3 linked regions of the Caenorhabditis elegans genome follow. The protein of the gene in region 3 interacts with the protein of the main gene of each other region in a pairwise test. Each region holds a gene or a part of one and is shown on either strand. Other genes may lie near its edges.

Region 1 (8,024 bases), on a different chromosome or scaffold from region 3:
CCCAGAGTGTCCGTACCTTCTCAGACCATGCACCAGATGCTCGGATCTCCGTTCATCAATCCGTGCCTCTTACCATCTGGAATGCCTCTGCGATTGGAATAGGAAAGGAAAACCATGGAATGGAGGACCAACGGTGTTGATCCGCCTTCCTGAATCTCCACCCAGAGACCAAAAAAGAAGAAGAAGAGGGGACAGAGGCAGATCACCATCAGACGAATACGGCAACGTCATCCACTACAACGACGACTACAACAACAACGACCGCTACAGTCAAGGTCCGTCCGACAACTATCGCCTATTAAATTGTTCACACCACCACCCCATTGTTCACTTGTTACTGTTGTTGTTAACCATCTTGTTATATGGGTGAAAATCCCTAATAATAAACAGATGTGTAAAATTACAAGACTATAAGTATAAGTTCTCACAAAGACAAAGACAATATGACCTTTACATTGGCTCTTGGAAAGTACGATTCTATGTATAAGCGATTTATAAACAATATACTCGACTAACAGTTTGTCAAAAAATGTTTTTTATTTTATGACTTGGCATATAAAGACTGGCTGGCGCGGATACGTAACGACTAATTATTTATTTATTTTTTTTCCTTTTTTATACTTCGCAGGGTACACTGTACGTGCCTCTGTACCCTGTTTAGCAAAAAGACTACGAGTTTTTGCGCCTGACTGTTTAGTATCACAAGTTCGCGAGCTTGTGATGCGACGCCGGGTTCTTCGACGACACCTTCAAAGAGACAAGACTATCCAGAGATTTAGCAATAGACACCGAAAGGGTCGATACATACTAAAAACCCTTAGACGGAGGACTAGCTACCCTCCAATCATCGGCGAAGAAGAAAGAAGATTTAAATTGAGTGGCAACTTTCGGTGATTTCCTCAGGCCAGAGGAGACTTTGGCGGCTCTCTGCAAGATCAGGCATGACTATACGGTGTCAAACAAGAACTTGGGCGGACAATTCGAGTGGAGTTTGGACTACTTGTTTTGGTTTCCCTTCTTTTTTTTCCTTTTCCTTTTTACCAGACGCAAAGACTAATTTTTAGACGTTTTTTTTATATATATTTCCTTAAAATTGCCCCCCCCCCCCTCCTCACCCTACTCTTTGGTCGATCTGCCTCACAACCATATCCACCTTGGAGTCCTCCACTAAACCTACTCTACATTGTTGGGAACTCTTTCCCTTTCTACACCGGGGACTCTTGACCCGAAGGGGGACTCTTTACCCTGGGAACTCTTGGCCCAAAAACCTACAATACAGGGAACTCTTAGCCCTCACCGACATTCCTCTGCCAAAGGAATAATTAATAACTCACCCATATTAGGTAATATTTAATAATCCCCCCACTCATATTGGGTCATTACTTTCCTTATTTACTGTACCTTTATTTATTTATTTATTATTTGATTAATATTTATTTATTTATTTAATATTTATTTTATTAATTTATTTTTATTAATTTATTTAATTAATATTTATTTATTTAATTAATATTTATTTATTTATTTAATTAATATTTATTTATTCATTTAATTAATAATTAAATAATTAAATAAAACATTTCTGTAACTACGTGAAGCTTCTTGTACCTACTGGAATATTATTGGTATATGCTGAAAGAGCTTAAAATTTACTACAAAGTTTCTGAAAGACATTTCAAAAAAAGTTACTTTCAAAAGATTTATGAATTTTCAAAGTTTGGAAAATTCATCTATTTTTGCCTATAAATGGTAGTTTTCATTAAATAATAAAATACGCACTAAAAGGTAGGGCTGAAAATGTACTATTTCTGTAACTACGTGAAGCTTCTTGTACCTACTGGAATATTATTGGTATATGCTGAAAGACCTTAAAATTTACTACTCAGATAAACCGAACCACGCAGGCACCGCTCCAAACCACGCAGGCAACGCGTACAAACCACGCTCAAGAATGCCAGTCCCTGCGTGGTTTCAACGCGTTGCCTGCGTGGTTTGGAGGCGACACCTGCGTGGTCTTGCAGCAATGGCAGTTCGCAGCCCGCTCCTTCCCCTTCCTACCGTTTAACCATCTAAAACGCAAAGTACGAAAATCTCAAAAATAACAACAAAAAAAGGTGGGAAACAAAATTAAGTCCATTAGGCAGTTGTTTTCGTCCCAGTGATCAGTGTGATGGTGTGTCCTTTTCCTGGCTCATCTTTTTCCGTGCGTTCAAGCTGCAATATTATTGATTTTTGGAAATACAAATTGATAGAAGGGTGTTTACCATTTTTGATCCACCTGTCGGGAGAAAACATCGCCAAAATCCGCACTCGGGAACTGTCCTTCGAATCCGGCTACAACATGTAGAATATTGTGAAGAACGCCTGAAAATTTTTGTTTAAAAAAAAATTGGACAAGAATAGCTTACTGATAGGACAATTGAGAAGTCTTCCTTGAAGAATCTGATGATTCACCGAATTTGGGTGGACACTGAAGGTGTGGAGGAGCTCTGGAGGAATTGTCTGAAAAGTGAACTATTTTAACTACATCTGGATTTGGAGAATTTGTGCAGCTGCCAAACTTCTGTTCACCTTTGACTTGGAATTTTCCGCGATTTTCCTAAGCTCTTTGAAATCCCAGTCCATAGTTCGAACGAACGATTCCGAAGGTTTTTTCTGAAATTTTGTTGCTATATATTTTTTAAAAATAAAGTTTATCTTACGTTGAAGCGACCAATCGAATGCGGCGCCTCCAGTCCATTGCCACGCCGCTTTCGGCCTCCTTTTGGGGTTTTTCGGGCCGGGGTTGACATATTTACCTGAAAACAATTATTGAGTTTCATGAAGAAATTGAAAATTAATATAAAAGTGCTTTTTGCAAGAAAAAAAACGGAAAATTCCATTAAATTAGGAAAAAAAAATAGAAGAAAAAGTTGTCCAAGAGGAGTACGCAGCCATTGGCCTAGGAATCCCGCGCGTGGCTGAACGTTGGCTGCCTGCATGGTATGTAGGCGTCACCTGCGTGGTTTTGCAGCCACTGCCAATAGCTGCCCACCGTCAAGTCGCCTGCGTGGTTCCTAGGCGTCACCTGCGTGCTTTTGGTTGCCTGCGTGGTCTTGACGCGTTGACTGCGTGGTGGGCAGTCACCTGCGTGGTTTGGAGCGGTGCCTGCGTGGTTCGATTTATCTGAGTACTCTAACTTGGGCATTTATTTGAATTATATTTGAAGTATATTCGGAAATTTTTCTTTTTTTGAACATTGAAACACATTGAAATAAAATAAAATAAAGTTTGCCAGAAATTTCAATTCCAGTAATTTGTTGATTTGCCTGAAAGCTAATATATATCGAAATGTATACATTACCCGTAATCAAAACATTTTGAAGTAACAGTATTCTGTTATTCTATCCGTTTTCTCTTCACTTTTCTCTCCCGATCAACTCACTCAATGTGCCCTCTTCCTACATTACACTTTTACGCACTCTAACACTCTCTGAGCCGATAGTTTTATTCAATCGAAATGTTCGCTTATTCAACGTCTTCAATTACCGGATCAACTCTTTCAGTTAGATCGTTTTCCAGTGACACGACAATTTCCAATGCGTTTTTCAATTTGCCTCAGGTAAAGTTGTTGCAAAATATATTGATTTATTGTTATTTCTACTTTTAACCAATGTTTTTCAATTTAAAAAATTTTGAATTGAGCATATTAGCGCTGATTTTTGTTTTTTTTTAATTTAATATTTGAAAATAGCCTGTCAATTTATAAAAAATCTATGCTTTATATTTATTAAAGATATTAGCCAGACGGGAAATTTTGCAATTTTTATGTGTTTTGCGCGAAAAATACGGTAGTTCTTGGTCTCAAAACGACAATTTTTCGTTGCATGGAAACGGGTGCTCTCCTTTAAAGAGTACTGTAATTCTAAACTTTTGTCGCTGCGGCATTTTATTCGACTTTTCATTGTTTTTCTTAAAATTTATGTGTTTTAATTGTTTTACTTCAGTTTTTTACAAAATAAAAACAGCCTTTTTTAACGAAGAACTATGAAAAAACGATGAAAACCCTGCAACAACGAAAGTTCGAAATTACAGTACTCTTTAAAGGCGCGCCCTGGTTTGAATATAACAAAAAAAAAGTCGTGTCGAGACCAGGAACCGTATTTTTGGCGCAAAAATCGCAAAATGTTGGGTATGAGTATAAAATAAAACACCGTGACCACTGGCTTGAGCCACGTGTACGGTATTTAGCTGAAAAGTTTCGATCGTGTCAGGACTCAAGACTGTTCTTTTGGGGGAAAACCCGAAATTTTCGTGGGCAGCTGGTACTCTTCTTTCTGGATTTAATCCGGATTTTGACAGAAAATGTTTTCTCGACGATTTTATTGAAAATTTCCATCTGTTTCCCAAACTTTCTCCAATTTTTTTGAAATTCTTGAATTCAGTATAATTATTATTCAGTTGAATATGCAAATTTTGTTATTAAAACAATTGAAATATTTGTTTTATTCACTTTTTGAGCAGATCTTTTTTTCAGAGCAATTTCCGTCAACGTCTGCAAGCGAAAAAACGAAGTCCGAAAAGAGTCAGCAAGCGCGCTCCATTGAGAACGCATCCTCCAATTCCACGACAGGTTTTTCCACTTTTCTCTTCTTTTTTTCCCGTTTTTTTTCATTTATTTTATGTTAAAATTCAGAAAATAAAGAAAAATATTTAGAAATAAATAAATTAAATTAAAAAATGCATTTAATTATCATTTATATTCGCTCAACAACACGACAATCCCATTTTCCGCTCACTGCCACGTGTAGCTTTGCAGATGTCGCTGTTTCGGAACTTTTTTGGCGGCGGACAGCAAGATGAAGACGAGGATAATGGAGCTGAATATGTAGAAACACTTGTGGAACGAGCAGAAACTTGTACGGCACCAGAAGACCGTCGAGATGCGTTGAGAGGGCTGAAAGGTGTCGCAAAGGTGAGAGAAAAAATCATTTGAACTATTAAAATTAAACAATTAAAATTAAACGTGTAATTTCAGAAATATCGATTAGCCGTCGGAACAATGGGAATGAATGCATTCATTGACGTGCTTGAAACAGATCGCATGAACACCGAAGCCATGACAATTGTGCTCGACACGATGGCAATCGTTTTGTCAACAGACGACGATTCTTCAGAATCCGATGAATTAGGAGAACGATTAGCCGAAGTGATGATTAAACGAAAAGGCTTCATTTCTTCAGTTTTATGCGCCGTTGAACAATTCGATATTGGAGTTCGAAGGTTTTTATTCCGAAATTAACGAGAAAAAAATCAAGATGCTTTAAAAAATTCACTAATTTCAGCTAAAATCTCCAATTTCGTCAACTTATCGGTGTCACAACAACCGCAAATTAATTTTCTTTTTAATTTATCCGTATTTTCTCCGATTGAGATACATTTTCAGGCCAAAGGCACTGAATAAGGGGCCTATCGACTGAAAATTCCTCAAAAAACGGCAAAATATGATTATAATTGAATTAAATCGATTTCCGGCTGTTGCGAGACAATCTTCGAAATTAAAAACACCTGATGTTAGGCAAAATCCCCAATTTTGCTCCTTTTTTTGCGTTACAACAGTATAAATACAGTCTTTATTGCATTTTTTTTTTGGTTTGGTATCCGATTTTTTATTATCTTTGGTGTTTGCTTTTAATAACGAAATAACGTGAGATCAAATAAAATATGAAAATTCGATAAAAACTGCATTGCAGCAGTCCTAACGCGGAAAAATTGATAAAATTGGAGATTTTAACTGAAATTAGCCCGTTTTTCAGAAATTTTGAGAATTATATCTTCAAAATTAGTGTATTTTGGCGCATTTTTAATTTTTACGAGCAAAAATTCCCCCGAATCCTCCTTTAAGGAAGATTTCGGACGATTTTGAACGTATACCCCCAAAAATGGGCTCAAATAATCGAACTTCGTATTGAAACTGCTCGAAAATGTTTGAAAAACTTTTTATGGCGGTTCAAAATTTCGAAAAAATACACTGATTTTAGCTAAAATCTCGAATTTTGGCCTTTTCTCCGTGTCGCAGCGGTTCGAAGTTGACTTTTTTGGAATTCTCGTCCTTTATTGAATATTTTGGTACTTTATCTCATATTATTTCGTTTGTTAAAGTACATTTAAAGACGATAGGTAACCGTTTTTTATGATTTTTGGCTACTTATAGGCTTTAAATGTACTTTAATAAACGAAATTAAATGATATAAACTACCAAAATATGCAAAAAAAGGATGACAATTCCAAAAAAGTCAATTTCGGACAGCTGGAACACGGAAAAATGGCCGAAGTTCGAGCATTTAGCTAAAATCAGTGTAATTATATAATATTTCGAAATTTTGAACCGGCATAAAAAATACAAAATTTTGAAAATTTCTTGAGCAGTTCTATTACGAAATTCGTCCATTTGAGCTCATTTTTGAGTCTTTACGAGCAAAAACCCCCCGAATCCTTCTATAAATTATTTCAAAAATCTGTATTTTACTATTTCAGAACTGCAATTCAGCTGATTTCAAACCTGCTTCGTCATCGTGGAACAGAAGTTCAAAAAGCCGTAATGGAGCATCCTCAAGGAATCGCAAAGCTCGTCGACGTTATTCATGATAATCGAGAAATTATTCGAAACGAAGCAATTTTAATGATTTGTGAATTGAGCAGAGCCAACTCGCAGGTTCAACAGCTTCTCGCGTATGATAATATATTTCTCGATCTTCTAAATATTATTGAAACCGAGCCCCTTGACAGTGAGCGGCTAATCAATTTTAAACATTTTATTTATTTTATTCTATGTTTTCAGGCATTGTCATCGAAGATTGCATGTTTGTAATGCTTAATTTATTGAGAAAACATGCGATGAATCAGCAAATATTCAGAGAAGATCAGTGAGTGAAAATTGGAATTTAATACACAAAAATTGCATCTAAAAAATCGAAAACCACTCAAAATGGCAAAATTTTGCTTGAATCTGAATTTTTCGCGACTTGTCTCTCACGGAAATCGATTTTTTATCAATTATTCCGCATTTTTTTGGTATTTATTCTGTATTTTGGTATGTATCCTTTGAAAATGCGAAATAAAATACTAAAATATGCAGAAAAATGTGAAAATTTTGACAAAAAATCGATCTCCGGCAGCAAATTTCCAGATTTTAGCTCAATTTAATTACTTTTTCGAGTTTTAGACAAATATCATTATGAAATTTAGTATTTTTTACGAAAAAACTCAAAATTACTCCTTTTTTGCGATTTTCGCGCCAACACGTGTTTTCAGCTCGACCATTCGGTGTAATTTGTGCAAACACCGTGACGCGCAAATGCAGACATTTTTGCACGCGCTGCGGTGAAATTCCTCTTGGGAAATTTAAATATTTTTTCCCGCCTTTTTTTAAAATTTTCGAGGCGTTGGTCGAGCTGAATACACGTGCGCCAAAAAGACGATACTCGGTCTCGACACGACAAATTTATGTTGTCTGCGAAAATGCGTGCGCCTTTAAAGATTTCTGTAATTTTAAACTTTCGAGAATAATTATAATTTGAAATTACAAGAATAATTTGAAATTACAGTACTCTTTAAAGGCGCACACCTTTTTGCATTTAGCAAAAGTTGATCGTGTCGAGACCAAAAGTGGCGGTTTTTCAATTTTTTTTACAAAATCGAAATACGAAAGATTTTCGATTTTTTTCGCTTTTTCCAAAAATATATTAAAATTTTAGTCATTTATCTCCTTTTTAGAAGAAATGTTTATATTTTTCACATCAACATAAACAAAATTAGACAAAAAATCGAATTTTATTGTTACTTTTCTGAATATTTTTTTCGATTTTTTTTTGTAAATTATAAATTCAAATTTTCCAGATTTGTCGCTCGCCTCGGAAAAATCCTGCACACATTTCTCTATGGAAACGAAGAAACTGAAGATATCGAAGTAACTGAATGGGCGAAACAACGGACAGCTAACGTTATTTTCTTGCTTCAAATCATTCGTACACTTGTTAGTCCAG
Region 2 (8,561 bases), 1.9 Mb from region 3:
GTGCGGACTCTGATAAAACAACTGCAATAGAAATGCACGAAATTATGGAAAATATTCTCGAATTTTTAAGTGAAGAAAATGAAGAAATGAAATATCATTTCATCTCGAAGACGACCATCAATGTGTCCATAGAATTTCAATTTATGTTTGTCGAAAAAACTCTGGCATTGATTAGAGATGCATTCACTTTTCAAAAAGACTTTTTTGTGAAACCTCCAGTTTGTGAGTTACATTTTTAAAATAGTCTAATATTTTGTAACCGATTTTTAGTTGATAATATGCTGTGCACTCTTCTTACAAAATGCTTGGAAGTCACTGAACTTGTATCCAGAATTCTTCAAATCTTTGTACAATACAAAATGATGCAGGAAAGAGTCACGGAGATTATGACAAGTTACTTCACCACAATTCAGATGGGAGTTGTATTGGTATAATTCAACAGAAACTTTTTAAAATTTGATTTAATCTCAAATATTTCAGCTTCAAAATCTTACAAAAGGATGGGGAAAAGAAATGTCCGAATGGCAGAGTACAAATATTCTTGCCACGTTGGTAAAGACAAAATTAAGGCCGATTCTTGCGATGGTGGACGATCATATTGGATTCTCGAAAGGAAAAGATGAAATGAAGAAAAAGATTTCACAGAAAACAAGATATGCAAAATCGAAACGAGACGAAAAACTATTTTCAAAGTTTTCACACGAAAGAGAAGCTGTTCAACATGGAATTCTTGTTCTTTGTAAGCTCATTAAAGATGATCGATTTGATCTTCAGATCAAGGTACGTAGATATATCAATTGGGAGTTTAAATTGTAATTTATTTCGTAAGAAACTTATTTATTCCTTTTGTAGCTGTCATTAGGGCTGTGGACGAAAAATTGATTTTTTTTCTAAAACATAAACGGAATAAAATTTCGCCAAAACCCAAAAAAAAGACAAAAACAACAGTTATTACTTTCGAAACTAGTCTGAGGCGTTTTCACGAAAATTTTGAACCTATAGACATTTTCGAGTGTCGTTTTTTGACAAAAAGCGTAAAATTTCAAAATGCATACATTTTCGGGTAGTGAAAAGATAATTAAAAATGTCGCTTTTTTTCGTTTTTTTATATCAATTTTATCCGGTAAAAGCACAAAAAATAGATTTTTCGCCAGAAACACAGAATAAAGCGAAAAATGCAGCCTTGGCTGTGACCTTCAAGCTACAAAATTATATATTTGAAAATCTTTTTTTTAGACATTTTCAAAAATATTTTTAAAGAACAATTCAATTGGATATCGTGACTTCCGAATCGATATGGAAGTTCTTCGCAACAAATTGAGCGGGCAAGCTAATGAAGAAGTTTGTGAACCGTACGTTTTAAATTTCAAAAAGTATTGTTTCTCCAGTTTATTATTGAATCCTCTTTTGTTTCTTTAAATAATTTTCAAGTAACGAGATGCTTTCAGAGCCACCAAACGAGGCCGTAGGGACCCAAGTATGGAAGATGAAGAAATAGAAGAAACTGAAGAGAGTACAACATCTGCAAGAAGAAGCTCCGAAGAACCCGAAGAGCCAAGAGATCAAGAGAACACTGTTGGAGTGGTATGTGTACGAGATTTTATGAGTTGTGTAACCACTACTTGAGCTGATTAATTCTAAGGCCGAAAAATATTTTATTTGGACAAAAACTTTAACTCTAAAAAATAAAGTTTCAAAAAACAATTCGGCAATTAAAATTTCGAAAAAATTAAAGTAAGTCTCCATATCTTTCAAAAATCTTACAAATGTTAAAATCCAAAAATAGTTTACTGTTTCAACAATTCCTATGATGTTTTGAATAAAAAAGAAATCATTATTTTTCAATATAAATTGTGGATATTCGGTGCGAAACTGTTTCAATGCGCTGATTAATAGGACCACATTTGTGTCAAATGTTCATTTCAATTTGTGAAATGATCTAAAACAGCGGCATCCCAGACATAAAATGTATGTAGTTCCAAATGCCTCGACCACATACATTTTATTATTCTCATTCACCCATTAAACATCCCTTTTCCATCAACCGACATCAATTTGACCCAAGGTGACCCTTATATGGGAATTTTCTATTTCTGGAACATAAATCTGACTTTCATTGTATTCGTTGTCATAATGATGACATAAAGTGCAAACAAATGTGTACACCATCGTCTCACCACCATCTGTTACACACATCCAACCAATTATCGCCTTCTCGAATCTTTGAATGTTTATAACCACCCATCACATCCCTCCTTTTTCGATAAAATCTAACATTGTGGGAAATGAATGTGTCAATTACTGAAATGAAATGATTGATCAAAGGGCATAACCTTGTTAGTTGTTGATAGCTTCATTTACCTTAATCCTTATATAAATTTACGCTGCCCTTAAATCAAGTGTCGTGTTCAAGAATATATTTTTCACGAGACGACTTGCACTCTTAATCTAAAAATGTATTTTTAGGTGAAGCAGGAGGTTGATGACGAAGAAGAAAGTGTCTCCAGAGGCACGAGTCCAGTCTTCTGATCAGTTAGCAATGAAACGACAATTATATTTGATTTCCTAATGAGTTTAAACTCTCGAGTTTTTATATGTGTAATATATTCTTCAACACTCCGGAATGCTTCTAATTAGTTACAAATGACAAAATGGAGCTTCATTCATGTTTTGGTTTTTTTTTAAATTTTCATGACTGCTACAGTATACCGTCTTGTTGTTTAATCTAATAGAATCATTCAAGAGTTTTTATTCTTTCCATTTGAATCTCAATTTTCACTATTATCATTTGATTCTCATCTCATTTTCTTACCGATTTTCAATCTCAAATTATTTAAGAACATACCATGTCAATAAACTTATTATTTGTTAAACATGATTTTTTAAAAATATTTTCTTCAAGACAGGTTTATGTCTCTTTATTCAATATTTCAACCTTTTCCGTTTTTTTAGATAATTTTGTGAGTTTTTTATACTGGAATTGTGATTATGTACATGTAAAATATTTATAAATGCTTCTCTCTATAGTAAGTTGCAGCTTCATCGTGTTTGATTCGAAATATTAGTTAGAAATCCTCGGATCCTCGTGTTACTTGAATATCAAACTTATTGGATACATTCATCTTCTACACTCGGGCTCAAAAGAGCTCAAAACAAATGTGCTCTATCGACAACTCCTCCCCCCATTCGGTCACCCATTCAGCGTCGCATTCATCGCCGCGCGTTCGTCCTCCTCGACACCAATACCTCCTTCATTCTTCAACGTTAGTGGGGCTATATGACCAGTCGTTTTGCAATTAATGTATGATTCTCTCCGTCTACACCACTGGAAACCCATGTCCTCTTTCTTTGTTTCTTCGTCTCGTTGTCAACGTCTATTCAAACCACGTGCTATTTCTTGAGTTTTGTTGTCTTCTCCCAATCCATCACTAGTCTGTTCTTCCTTGCATTTTTTTGATCGAATTTTTAAAACTCCTCTCATAATTTTTATGTTAATAATTCACTATCCACTTGATTGTATTTAATTTTCAGTAAAAATGAAGGCATCGTATCTGGAAACCCTCGATCGAATCAAAGACGAGCATGCGGAAATGTCGAAGCATGTCAACCAGCAACGAGTAAGCTTAATTTTGTAAGAGAAATTTTAGTATATTGAAAACAATTTTGCAGTCGGATATCGAAAAGGTTGCGTTAGAGAAAGAAAATATGAATAGATCGTATATGACGTACGCTGAAGTATCAAATACTCTTCGTAGCGATCTTCGAAAAGCAGAAGAAATCAACAAACGCCTTCAGGAATTCATCATGCAATCGGTAAATTAACTCGTCAATAATGTTATTAAAAAATCGAACAAAAATATAGAAAAAGCTATTACAATTTTTTTGTTGAAATATTTGAACTAAATATTATGGAAACGTTATAATATCTATTGGATTGTACCTTGTTCAACTCAAACATGCTCCTCTTTCCATATATTCATTTATAAATAGAAGAAAAATTATTATGTAATATTTTTAATTCATAATAATCAATTTTAGGTAATATTATAAATGTATATTTTTCAGTTGGCTCCTCAACTATCTCAAGATAATCAAGCAAACTGCCTCGCCGCACTGGAAGCTTTCAAAACCGCATCACCACGTGAAAATGGAAATGGAGCACCAGCACTTCCACCAGGTTTTCCTCCCGGTGCAGCTGGAATGCTTGGAATGATGCCAAATATGCCATTCGGAATGAGCCCTGCAATGAGTCAACTATTCAATCAATTCGCATCACCACATGTCAACGGTGGAGATGGAGCCGGTGGAAGTTCTGGAGGTGCAAGTGAAGCGAAAAAGGCCAAGCTGGAAGATCCAGATGATGGAGAACTTGAGATTGATGTCACAAATGATGATCATCCAAGTACTGCATCAAATGGAGGCGCAGCTAATAAAAATGGAAGAGATAGCACAAATAGTGTTGCCTCATCGGGAGCATCTACACCGAGCATCGCATCAAATTCTAGAGCAAGACAACAACAGCAGCCACTCGCTGGGCTTCAAGGATTGGAGCAAATGAACTTTTTAGCTGGATTCAGTACGTGTTTACAATCTTTTGAAGTGTGCTAAGTGGAGGGAGCAAATACCAAAACTTCAGGCAATGCCAAAATATTTCAATTTTCAGATCCAAATCTTCTCCGACAAGCTAGTGCTGCTGGAGGATTCAACTTTTTGAATGATCCCCATGCACAGGCCCGTCTTGCAGCTGCCATCGGGCAAATCGGTAGCAGACCGGCCTATTCATTCAAAATTGTGGACGGTGGAGTTCCAACACCTACATCCTTCCCTCCAGATGCACAGAAAGGTCCCGGAATTCCGACGTAAGAAAATATAATAATTGGCTTTGATTCAAATTTGAAAAAAAAAATTGCAGAGGTCTCAAGAAGAAAATGGAATTAAATCACGGAGAAGTAGTTTGTGCGGCCACAATTTCCCGTGATAACAGTCGTGTTTATACTGGTGGAAAAGGATGTGTTAAGATCTGGGATGTCAAAGAATCAGATATTTCTGGCGCAACGGTTGTGAATCGGCCTCCAATTGCATCCTTGGATTGTCTCAAAGAGAACTATATTAGATCTTGTAAACTCTTTGAAGATGGAAATACACTTCTGATTGGAGGAGAAGCCAGTACTGTTGCTCTTTGGGATCTTACAACTGAAACAAAAACTTTGGACTTGGAAACTGATTCACAAGCATGCTACGCGTTGGCGATGTCACCAGATGAGAAATTATTGTTCGCATGTCTTGCTGATGGAAATATCCTCATTTATGATATCCATAATAAGGTGAAAGTTGGAACCCTACCTGGACATCAAGATGGAGCATCATGTCTCGATCTCTCAAAAGATGGTACAAAGCTCTGGTCAGGTGGTCTTGACAATTCTGTTAGATGCTGGGATCTTGCACAACGAAAGGAAGTTGCGAAGCATGATTTTGCGAGCCAAGTTTTCTCTCTTGGATGTTGTCCAAATGATGAATGGGTGGCTGTTGGTATGGAGAATAATTATGTCGAGGTTCTGTCAACAACTGGAAAAGAAAAGTATCAATTGACACAACACGAATCATGCGTCCTTTCGCTCAAATTTGCGCATTCCGGAAAGTTCTTCATTTCAACTGGAAAGGTATGTTTTGATTATACTTTGTCATTTACCGTATTTCTTCTATTAGTATGGCCTCCCTATTAGACTTGCACTCCCTATTAGTATTGCCCCTCGGAGACCTTCCAAAAATTAGTATGGCACTCCCTATTGCACTCTCTAATAGTCTTGCGTTTACTTTTTTTTTATTGCAAACCCATCTCGCTAATTTCAGGATTTCAACAATATTTTTTGCCTATTGTGCAACAATTTTTCACAAAATTTATACGAAATTGAAGTTTTTGAACTTATAGGTTACAATTAAAATCAAAATTTTTTGTATTTTTACATAAGATTCGAGCTTTTTCAGAAAAAAACTAGTAAGCTCAAAGTCAGAAAAATATTCTGAAAATTAGTATTGCACTCCCTAATATTCTTGCACTCCCTATTAGTCTTGCAAGCGGGAAGACCATCGAAAAATAGTATTGCAGCCATATTAATAGAAGAAATACGGTAATTGGCTCAATTTTTCTAATTGAAACCTCATAATCTCAATTTTTCAGGACAATGCTCTCAACGCCTGGCGTACTCCATACGGAGCATCACTCTTTCAACTAAAAGAGAACAGCTCCGTTCTCTCATGTGACATCTCATTCGACGACTCACTCATTGTCACTGGATCAGGGGAGAAGAAGGCAACTCTCTATGCAGTTGAATATTAATTTTTTTCCGCAGTGAATTTATGATCATGATACTCAAAACCCCTATTCTGTACGATAATCGTTTCATCTCTCTCATCTCTTCTAATTTCGTTTGTCAAATTTTCGTATTTGTGTACCCTATTACGATTAATGTCACTCTATGTTTAAAACATTTATTTATTTGCACTACAAAACAATGATGATCTGACTTGACTTTAACAGCAATTAATAAAACATTTCAAAAATCTGAAACTCTTCCCTTCCTCTCCCAATCACCATATCGAGTTGGCTCTGGTCCAGCTGGTCCACCAACTTCTCCAGTTGACTTATTCACACCTCCCGGATGTTTCTTGAGGTGAGGATCTTCATATTGTTGTTCGTCTGCTTTATCAAGTGCTCCTTTCGGTGTCTTCTCAGCCATCACCTTCTCCTTCGCACTTTGTTTTGGTTTTATATCTGCGAATCGGCGGGAAGAATCTGAATCGTCAAGAAATTAGAAAATTGTTTTTTGTGTAAAATCCATACTCAAAATTGGACGAAGAATCTGACGAAGCATTTGATCTGAATATTTTTTTTAATTGTTTCAATAGGACTAATCTTGCGACTAAAGTTACATCGATATCTCCAAGGCTCCACCCATTTTTCCTTCAGTAACATATGAAAATATTGACAACAAATCTTTATCACATATATAAAAGTCCATAGAAACAAATGTTCTTTGATGCATTTCAAGAAAGTGGGCGCATAAGATCAAAAGAATAGGATAAGAGCTAAGGTAATTTAATTGAACATGCACTTGTACACGGCATAAATGACAAGTCCCATTGTAGTTGGAATCAGGAAGTTGGTCCATGTTGGTGAAGTCATAATTTCGGTGAAATCATTGAGGAGAGATGATGATTTTTCGTTTTTCGAAGGTTTCGCAGCCGCTGTCTCGACTTTTGGAACGTCTGATTCTGGCAATTGACCAATGAGATATTCATTGGCCATTTCAATAGCATCTTTTGAGTGCCCAACATCGAGGAATCCAACTGTAGCATCTTTACCGGCTAATTGAGTGATGACTTCTTCACCTCCTGGATGCTCATTCAAGAACTTTGTCACATCGTAGACCTGTAAGGAATGATTTCGATATTTAAATTTAAAAAATGAAAAAAAAATTACCTTTCCGGAGATGACAATCCAACACGATTGATCAGCATCTTCCCAGTTGTGCTTTGAGACCTCATCGAGAGAAATGACACGTAGCTCCGACATAATTGATGAACCCTGAAACAAAAAATGGTCTCTAAGTCGTTGAAAATTATTCAAAAGTGATATATTTCGGTTGAAAACCAGAAACTTTAGTATAAATTGAAAAAAAAAACATAAGGAAATCAAATAATTTATGCAGAAAATACTAAGAATTACCCTACAATCTCATGAAAAGGCACATTGAACATCGGAAGAAAATAATTCAATTATAAAACAATTTTGAAACACCCATGAAAATGAAGTCAACCTGAAAAAATAACAAAAATCTTGGGAATATAATTATTTCGTTTTTTCTCTGTGATCAGCTCCAATTGCTTCCGAAACATGCGAAAATCCATCTTTCCGTAAAAGTTCGACAAGTTCTCGTTTGATTTTTCCGATTACCGGAAATCCTTCATAGACGAACGCGGAATAGAGTTGGACCAGACTAGCACCGGCTCTGAAATTTTACATTTAGTTAAATAAATTGAAATTAATACTTTGATTGAATAACGGTGGACTATACGGCCTGTGGGAAAATCAATAAAACCATTCTTACCATATATTGTACTCAAATGGTCAAATATTATAATTCAATTTTTATTTTGAGTCAAAAGGCGTTGAAAACTGTGTTTTTACTTTTCGAAAAATCTATATCACTGTATCATGTTTAAACCTTTAAAATGTTGAAATATGCATATTTTACATAATTAGAACATAAAACTGGAGAATAACATTTTTTTGATCGTCGATTTCCAAAGAAAAATAGGGGAAAACCGATTTTTCACTGCTTTTTGAAACGAAACAAAAAATGTTTCAAATTTTTTTTGAAAAGTTTTATAATAATATTTGGTCATTTTAGCAAGATAGGAATGGTTTTTGATAATTTCCCCACTCGACCTCGAACTGGGAAGTTCACTTACCTAATCTTTTCATATGCATCTGCTCCACTGAACACTCCTCCACAGCCGATAATTGGAATTTGTCCGTTTGTGAGTCTGAAATTAAACTA
Region 3 (7,331 bases):
AGAACTGAAAAAGCTTGCACATTCCTGAAAATCCCAATTTTTTGTACTTCGATTTCTATTTATTTGTTTTCTAAGAATAAAAAATGTTTCAGAGTAATTGTGCGATTAAAATACACCAGTACAATACGTGTTGCAGTAGCAATTATTCAACGCCAAAGTTCAAAGTTCTCGTCATACCAGCTAATGCAAAGGACAAACACAACTGTGTGTTCGAAACAAAAAAAACCAACAGACGGTTCGTTTCTCCCCTCATTTGGTTTGTGAACCTCTCCTATTCGGACTTTCAAATGTTTTATTGAGAATTCCCATATCGACTCTCGTTTTCATATTTTTCAAATGCATTCAACCTAAACGAGCCGCTCACCATTCGTCCTTGTTTTTTTCTATTCCTTTTCAAGGTTTTCGTCATCATGTTGTGAGGAGTGTGTTGTCGATCGCCACCTTTTCCGATCGGTCGACTCTTGAAAAGTGGTTTTGCGTTTTTAATTAGAAAAGGGTCATTGGCGTGTTTGTATGCATGTTTGCAAAGTGTCCTATTACCGGTACAGAGAGTGTAGATAGTTAGAGAGTGACAGACATCCGGGACCCAATGGGGCGGGACGCGCGGAAGAGACGATTTGTGCCGATTTACGAAATTTTCCTCGTTGTCATCATTTCGTAAATCGACACAAATCGTCTCTTCCGCGCGCCCGCCCCATTGGGTCCCGGATGTCTGTCACTCTCTAACTATCTACACTCTCTGTACCGGTAATATTTCTTTCAAGAAGTAGTTTTCGTTTTCTTTCATTAGTTTTATGTTTTTTATAAACCAGGATATTAGATCGTAGTTTTCTTATTTGAGCTGCAAAATCTCTTTTTGAAAAATTTTTCCATGCTTATGTAGCTTTCATTTTTTTATCGCTCTTTTTAGATTGCGACATAGAACCAAAGTAACTTTATTTTGAGTGCCTCGAGCTCGAGAAAGTTCTAAAAATCTATTTTTACAATGAAATATTAATAATTTGCTGAATTTTATTTAAAACATCTTCTTTTAATGTTGGAGAAAAAGAACAGTATTTTCAAAATCAAACACAAAAATCTAGCGATCACCACAAACTTTTGTTTCGCTATGGGACCCGGTACTGTTGCCTCTTGAATGTTCCTTTAACTACAAAAGACCGCCTGAATTTTAGGAGCGCTCCTGAGCACATTTCTCATATCTTCATTCAAACCGGCAGTTTTCTCCCGAGAGCACTCTTAAATTGTTATTTTTGGGCTATTTTCGATTAAACTCTTCCAATTCTTTTTTATCAAACACCGTTCAATCAAATGTTCCTTATCAAAAACGCAAGACGTAGGCGGAGAACCAAAACTTTGCGATGAGTCAGAAGAATTTCACCATTTTTGGTTAGCGGAGAGTGGAAGAACCTCTTTTGTTTATAAATATTTTTTCTCGTCGTTAACTATACGCTTTTTTTCTTTCAAACTTATTCGTTCTAGAAAATGTCCGCTTTCGCTTCTTCGGATCGCGCTGAAAAGTCTGGAATTGCATTGGAGGCCCAGCAGAAAATCTACGAGAAATACGATAAGAATCTTGCCGGAGAAATTCTTCAATGGGTTCAGGTAATTTTGTGAAACTTTTCAAACGTTTATTGATTCTTGGCAAAGTCATATGTTTACATTGCAAACGAAGAAAATCATACAAATAAGTTATGCTCCTTCTTCGATTCACGATTTGAAACATTTTTCAGAACGTCACTGGCCAATCTTTCGACACCCAAGGAGACGCTGACAACTTGGTCAAGGTTTTTCAAGATGGAAGTCTTCTCTGCACTCTTGCCAATTCTTTGAAACCAGGAAGCGTCAAGAAGGTCAACACATCTGCCATGGCATTCAAGAAAATGGAGAACATCTCTTTCTTCCTGAAGTTTGCTGAGGAGTATGTGCAAAAGTCGGAACTCTTCCAGGTTTGTCCTTTCACTAAACACATTATGACATCAATTGTTTTCAGACTGTTGATCTCTACGAAGGACAGGACCCAAATGCTGTCCTCATCTGTCTCGCTTCTTTGGCACGAAAGTCTGAGAAGAACTTCGGTCGATCTGGTCTCGGACCGAAGGAAGCTCAAGGAGATCGTCGTGAATGGACCGATGAGCAATTGAAAGCTGGACATAACGTGATTGGTCTTCAAATGGGCAGCAACAAAGGGGCAACTGCTTCAGGACTTAACATGGGAAACACCCGCCACATGTAATTTCCAACGTATTCCCTACATTCTCAACCGGTTCTGGTAATCATAACGTGAAATTTTCCTATTCATTTTTTTATATGTCCAAATTATCAAGTGTACTGTAATCGATCTGGAAGCCACGCACTTCTAGAAAATTCAATTCGCTTCTCCAAATTTCATCGGTTCCAACATACAACTCATAATGATTTCCATGTTTTTGTGTAGAATTTTTGTCCAAATTATTTATTGTATTGTAATAAAGCTTGTAAGTAGGCAAATAAGCATTTTACAATATGAGACTAGACGATTTGCAAATGACTAGAAGAGCTTGAGGTCTGGTTGAACATGGATGTCATTTGCACGTTTCCAAATGACGATTTAAATAAGCTCGCAGGGCAAATCGACGACCACATTTATCACATTCGAATCGTTTGTCACCTGGAACAACAAATATTGAAGAACTGTTAGGTGTGAAAATATATGCGTAAATACCTGTATGAGTTAGCATGTGCGCTCGTAAGTTGCTCCGATCAGCAAATGATTTTCCACAATGAGCACAAGAGAAAGGCCGAAGACCTGTGTGAGAACGAAGATGTCCCTGGAGCAGCCAAAGTCTCGAAAATCGTTTCCCGCAAACATTACATTCATGAGAAGCGTTGTGTGTTAAAATGTGCATGCTGAAATTCAGTTTAACTTGTAAAACTAGGAGAAAAAGTTAACGTCCAATCCTAAGTCTCTACTAGATTGTGAACACTTAGCCCCAGCTTTCTGGTTGCTAGTTTCACTACTAATTCCATCGAATTCTTATTATTACCATGTATTATATAATTTCTATTATCCGCCTAACTACAATAGTGTACAATGTGTGTTGACGCAAAGAAATACAGGTACAGGTGGTGATTGCGCAATCGGAAGATTGTCTTCTGATGAGAATAAGGCAGGTGCGAATTGTTGGTGATTAAATAATACGAAGTGAAAGCTTGAGGAGATTAACCTTACAAACGTGGTTTCAATTACATTCTGGATATTATTTGGAAGTAATGATTCTCTATTCTTTGAACTGAGTTAGCTCGATATTTCAAATAAACTCTGGTGTGAAAACGTATTACCTATACGCGAAATATTGCAATTTTGCGCCCAAAGTACTGTACCTGGTCTTTACACGACAATTTTTTGAGAGTACTGTATTTTTCAAACTCTCTCGTTGATGCTCTTTTAAAGGGACACCTTTTTGCATTTAACCAAATTTTTTCGTGTCGAGACCGGGTACCGTATTTTTCAAAAATGACAATATTTTGCGCCTGCGTAATAACCAGATTTAGAATTTTTTCTAAGAAATTCAAAAACTTCACTTCTGAAAGTTATTGACTCGAATTCCTCAGTTTTACACGTTTCTCATTATAAAATACAATAATACTTTTTGAAAAGTAAAGCTCTTACCTTAGTGCAGGCATACTGACGTAGACTCGATCACAATGAGGGCATTGTTTGGCATGTGGACTATCCAAAGCTCTGTGCGTCTGAAATTGTTACTTTCAAAACAAAAGAATTCTCAATCCAGGAACACGAAGGAAGCAATATGTTATGTCATAGCTGTCAGAAAAACACTGTTTTACCTACCTGCTTGTGTCGACTGAGATTGGAAGTTGTTGCGTAGCTTTTCCCACATTTGTCACATACACATCTGTTATGAGAGGATGGTCTGAAAAAAAGTTATACGGGAGTCTTCTTCCGTTTCAATTACTTCACTAACCCTTTTTTATTCAAGCTTCTTCTATCCAAATTTTGAAGTGAATCCAATGTATATCCAGTGGTAGAACATGTTGGAGACGGAGATGAAGATACATCTTCATCGTTTTCCAATTCTAGTTTTGGAACTTTTTGAGAGTTTAGAATATTGTCTATTGAGAATACAGAGGTATTTTGTACAGATGATGGAGATTTCTTCAGATTTTCAGAGGACGTTGACGAACTAGAAGAGGACGAAGTAGATGCAGCTGAAGACTTTTGCATTTGTAGGTGTAGACTCATTAGATGCCATAGTTGGGCTTGAAAATCTGAAAGAAAATTTGGACTAAAAGGTTAAATAAGTATCACCACCGATTGCTCAACATTTGCTCAACTTTGACTGTTTTTATCTCGGTTGTCTCTGGTTTTTTTTAAAACATTGTGGAACAGTAAATATAGGTGTCAGATACATTATTCTTTATATTTTTGTTATTGAACAATTTTTGATAGATCCAAAATAAGAGCTGCCACTTTGGAGCAATGGGGGTGCAAGACTAATAGGAAAAATACAATATTTTGACACAATCTCCAAAACCAAAAAATATTAACGAAATATCAAGAACCTATTAAACTCAATAACTCACCACAATTGCCAATTATGGGGAAATCTACTGGAGGAGCAACAGTTGGTGTTAAACTAATATTCGGGGTAGTTATCATATTCTATCAGAAATGAATCAAGCTGTGAACTACACACAAAATCTGTTGAGCTTAACAAGACTGGGCGTGGTCTTAATGAGACGATCTGATTGGTCGGAGCTCACGAAGAGGCGGAACCACAAGAATTGCTCCAACAAGCTGGTAGACATGCGCAGTAGGTGGTCCCAAGAGGGACACAGGTTATTTTAGAAATATAATGGCTGAGGCGGTTATGGTTGAGTTTACAACACGTTTTGATATTTAGTCAATGAAAAATTGTAAAATTAGAGGATTTAAAAACATGGATTTTTGTTTAGAAACATAACAATTATTACTTTTTATACATAACTTTTTATTAAACAATTATTTCAAGTAGGAAATTTTTTGAAATTATGAAAAACTGTAGATGTAGATGCTTCTCTCGAAATTGAGTACTGTAGCTCAACTGTGGAAAACCATCAACACAGAAACCTGTGGCTATATCTCAAAAATTGAGATTCAAAAAGTTTCAAATTTTGTTCATCTGTCAATAAGCCATCTACAGTACTCTCACCGTTTAAGCTCGCTCAATCATGCAGGCAGATGGGACAGGTGACACAGTTCATGACCTGTTACATCATACCTAATTTCAACGCCGTCTGTCTATTTTCTAGTGACTAAATAGTAGGTTTATTTGTGCTCAATGCTCCAAATATATCAATTTGAACATTTGTGAATATAAGCGGATAATCTCTGGATTTTTCAATTAAAAAGTGATTGGAAATACTTTGGACCTCGGATACATGAAACAAAACACAAACTACACAAATAATGAAATGATTTTTTGATCAGTTGGAACTGAATAAATTGAAAAATAAGACCTTAGAAATAAAAATTAGAATATTTGACAGCATCTTGCATGAAGTTTAAAGTGACCAAAGTTTACATTAAAAAATGTTTAATTGAGATTTTTCCAACCTGTTTTTTTAGATCTAAAATACAGTTCTAGAACAAAAAATATCCCGACCAAATTTCCTTAATTTTTATCCTCTTCAGAGTTACACTATTTTTAATAATTATTATTAAAAAGGCTGAGAGGGACATTCATATATGATTATAATGCTTTTACCGTTTTCCACAACACTGCAAATTATTTGAAGGTTTGCACTGCAATTTTTAATGGAATTCATAATCTGAATCGTCTCAAAGTTACATCATATTATTCACAAACATATGTCCACATTATCTCACTAAAGACTGTAAAATGTAGTAGTCATATATGTACCAAGTGTCCATATCCCTCAAAACAGGTGTTTTCAATCTCAGTACCCATTACAGTCTATCAAGTGCAATTTATAGGAAGACACGTGTCACTTCAGACACCTCTCGACCTTTTTGTTGTACAACATGCCAACAATTGTTCAATTGAGATGCTTTTTTTGGTTTTTGAAATTTGGAACGTTGAACTGAAGAGCTAAGACTCTGCAAATAAAGAATCCAAATTTTTATCTAATTTTCTAAATGTTCAAAAAAATCATGCTTGTTGTTAAGAGTTTGCTGATTGATGTTTAAAAATAAATATATTTAGGACTCCAACAGGATGGCCGAGAAGTTTGTCACAAAGGCCCTTCACTTTGAAAAATATTACTAACATACCCTTAGAAAATTTTGAGATCATCTGTAAAAACCAACGATGGATTCATTTTACGAACATAAAAAGTAGTGACAAAGAAGAGATATATTTTTTTTATTTAAAAATACCTCACTGCTGCTTAAATCTTTGTTTTCCAAATGCCACACATTTGGCAAAAATTTCAATAACTACAGTTTCGCCAAACTTCAAATAATTCAACAATCATAAAGTATTTAATCATTCATATTACATAACATTGGTTTCAATCCAAAAGCTTTCCTCAATAATATTCGCTAATCGGCTCGTCAATCAACAATGCTTCATGCCTTTTAGAGGTACCCGTGGGGGGTCAACTCCTTTCTGCAAAAGGCATATGGCCGTCTGTCAAAATGGGGGTGTGCTCATTCGATTTCGTACCAGATGATGATATCTCAGCAGGAGACACATTTTGTTTCCCTTTGAAGATACTCATGTCTTTTGTCAATTGCATAATCTTTTCACGTTTGTTTGACAGGCGGGAGGATTCGGTGATGTGAGCCGACGGAAATGACATGGAGTCATCCGGAATTATGAATGTAGGGAATTAGGAAGTGAGCACCCAGGAAGCACACCCGAAAGTTTCAATGAATATTTTGAGCAACAACATTTCCAAAGTATGTCTAAAGAAAACGGAAAAAAAAAAAAATCAAAAACCACGTTTTTTCTTATAAAAAATCTTTTTTAAAACTTTTGGAAAACTGATATTCGGCAAACGAAAATCGCAGCCGACTCCTTATAGACAGTGACAACTTTGACAACATCTCAAAAAAACCGATCGAGGCGTGACGGGGCGCCTCTTTCCCCGCCCAACTCGCGCTTGCATAAAAATACAGTACTCCTACCGTACTAGTCCACTACCATGATAATTTCATCTTTTTCTAGTGAGAATTCCAATTTCGTACTACAATTTGGCTGACAATTAAAAATCAGAAAAATAATGAAACAAAAATAAATACGTGAGAAAAAAAACAAAAAAGTTTTACGTGAAAAAAGTTGAATCACGTATCTTTTCTCACGTGACCTGTGCTTCTCTTGTCTTCACAG

What was found.
Region 1: the proteins of ces-1 (region 3) and uso-1 interact in a two-hybrid assay, tested with the Caenorhabditis elegans proteins (2 studies listed by BioGRID).
Region 2: the proteins of ces-1 (region 3) and unc-37 interact in a two-hybrid assay, tested with the Caenorhabditis elegans proteins (3 studies listed by BioGRID).

Annotation. Positions count from the first base shown.
Region 1 is NC_003282.8:13,450,274-13,458,297, reverse strand, and holds the start of uso-1 (Uso1_p115_head domain-containing protein), read left to right. Parts: upstream 1-3,499; coding exon 3,500-3,601; intron 3,602-4,516; coding exon 4,517-4,612; intron 4,613-4,798; coding exon 4,799-4,954; intron 4,955-5,017; coding exon 5,018-5,262; intron 5,263-6,516; coding exon 6,517-6,767; intron 6,768-6,820; coding exon 6,821-6,905; intron 6,906-7,878; coding exon 7,879-8,024. Other genes in the region: Y38H8A.7 (uncharacterized protein), read right to left, coding at 2,163-2,214, 2,265-2,364, 2,409-2,502, 2,572-2,655, 2,703-2,792.
Region 2 is NC_003279.8:6,740,300-6,748,860, reverse strand, and holds unc-37 (Transcription factor unc-37), read left to right. Parts: upstream 1-3,531; 5' UTR 3,532-3,536; coding exon 3,537-3,617; intron 3,618-3,669; coding exon 3,670-3,813; intron 3,814-4,065; coding exon 4,066-4,576; intron 4,577-4,663; coding exon 4,664-4,859; intron 4,860-4,912; coding exon 4,913-5,660; intron 5,661-6,178; coding exon 6,179-6,337; 3' UTR 6,338-6,554; downstream 6,555-8,561. Other genes in the region: fnci-1 (FANCI helical domain-containing protein), read left to right, coding at 1-222, 271-428, 481-780, 1,261-1,352, 1,449-1,584, 2,467-2,529; W02D3.12 (Succinate dehydrogenase assembly factor 4, mitochondrial), read right to left, coding at 6,555-6,793, 6,842-6,872; cytb-5.2 (Cytochrome b5 heme-binding domain-containing protein), read right to left, coding at 7,097-7,429, 7,481-7,573; dhod-1 (Dihydroorotate dehydrogenase (quinone), mitochondrial), read right to left, coding at 7,850-8,009, 8,473-8,547. UniProt on the Caenorhabditis elegans protein: Transcriptional corepressor that functions with the neural specificity gene unc-4 to govern motor neuron identity. In concert with unc-4, represses the expression of VB-specific genes such as ceh-12, thereby preventing the adoption of VB motor neuron fate.
Region 3 is NC_003279.8:8,631,275-8,638,605, reverse strand, and holds ces-1 (C2H2-type domain-containing protein), read right to left. Parts: upstream 4,710-7,331; 5' UTR 4,658-4,709; coding exon 4,582-4,657; intron 4,267-4,581; coding exon 3,963-4,266; intron 3,912-3,962; coding exon 3,830-3,911; intron 3,730-3,829; coding exon 3,650-3,729; intron 2,887-3,649; coding exon 2,702-2,886; intron 2,648-2,701; coding exon 2,562-2,647; 3' UTR 2,437-2,561; downstream 1-2,436. Other genes in the region: mfap-1 (Microfibrillar-associated protein 1), read left to right, coding at 1-8; cpn-1 (Calponin-homology (CH) domain-containing protein), read left to right, coding at 1,483-1,602, 1,731-1,946, 1,991-2,233.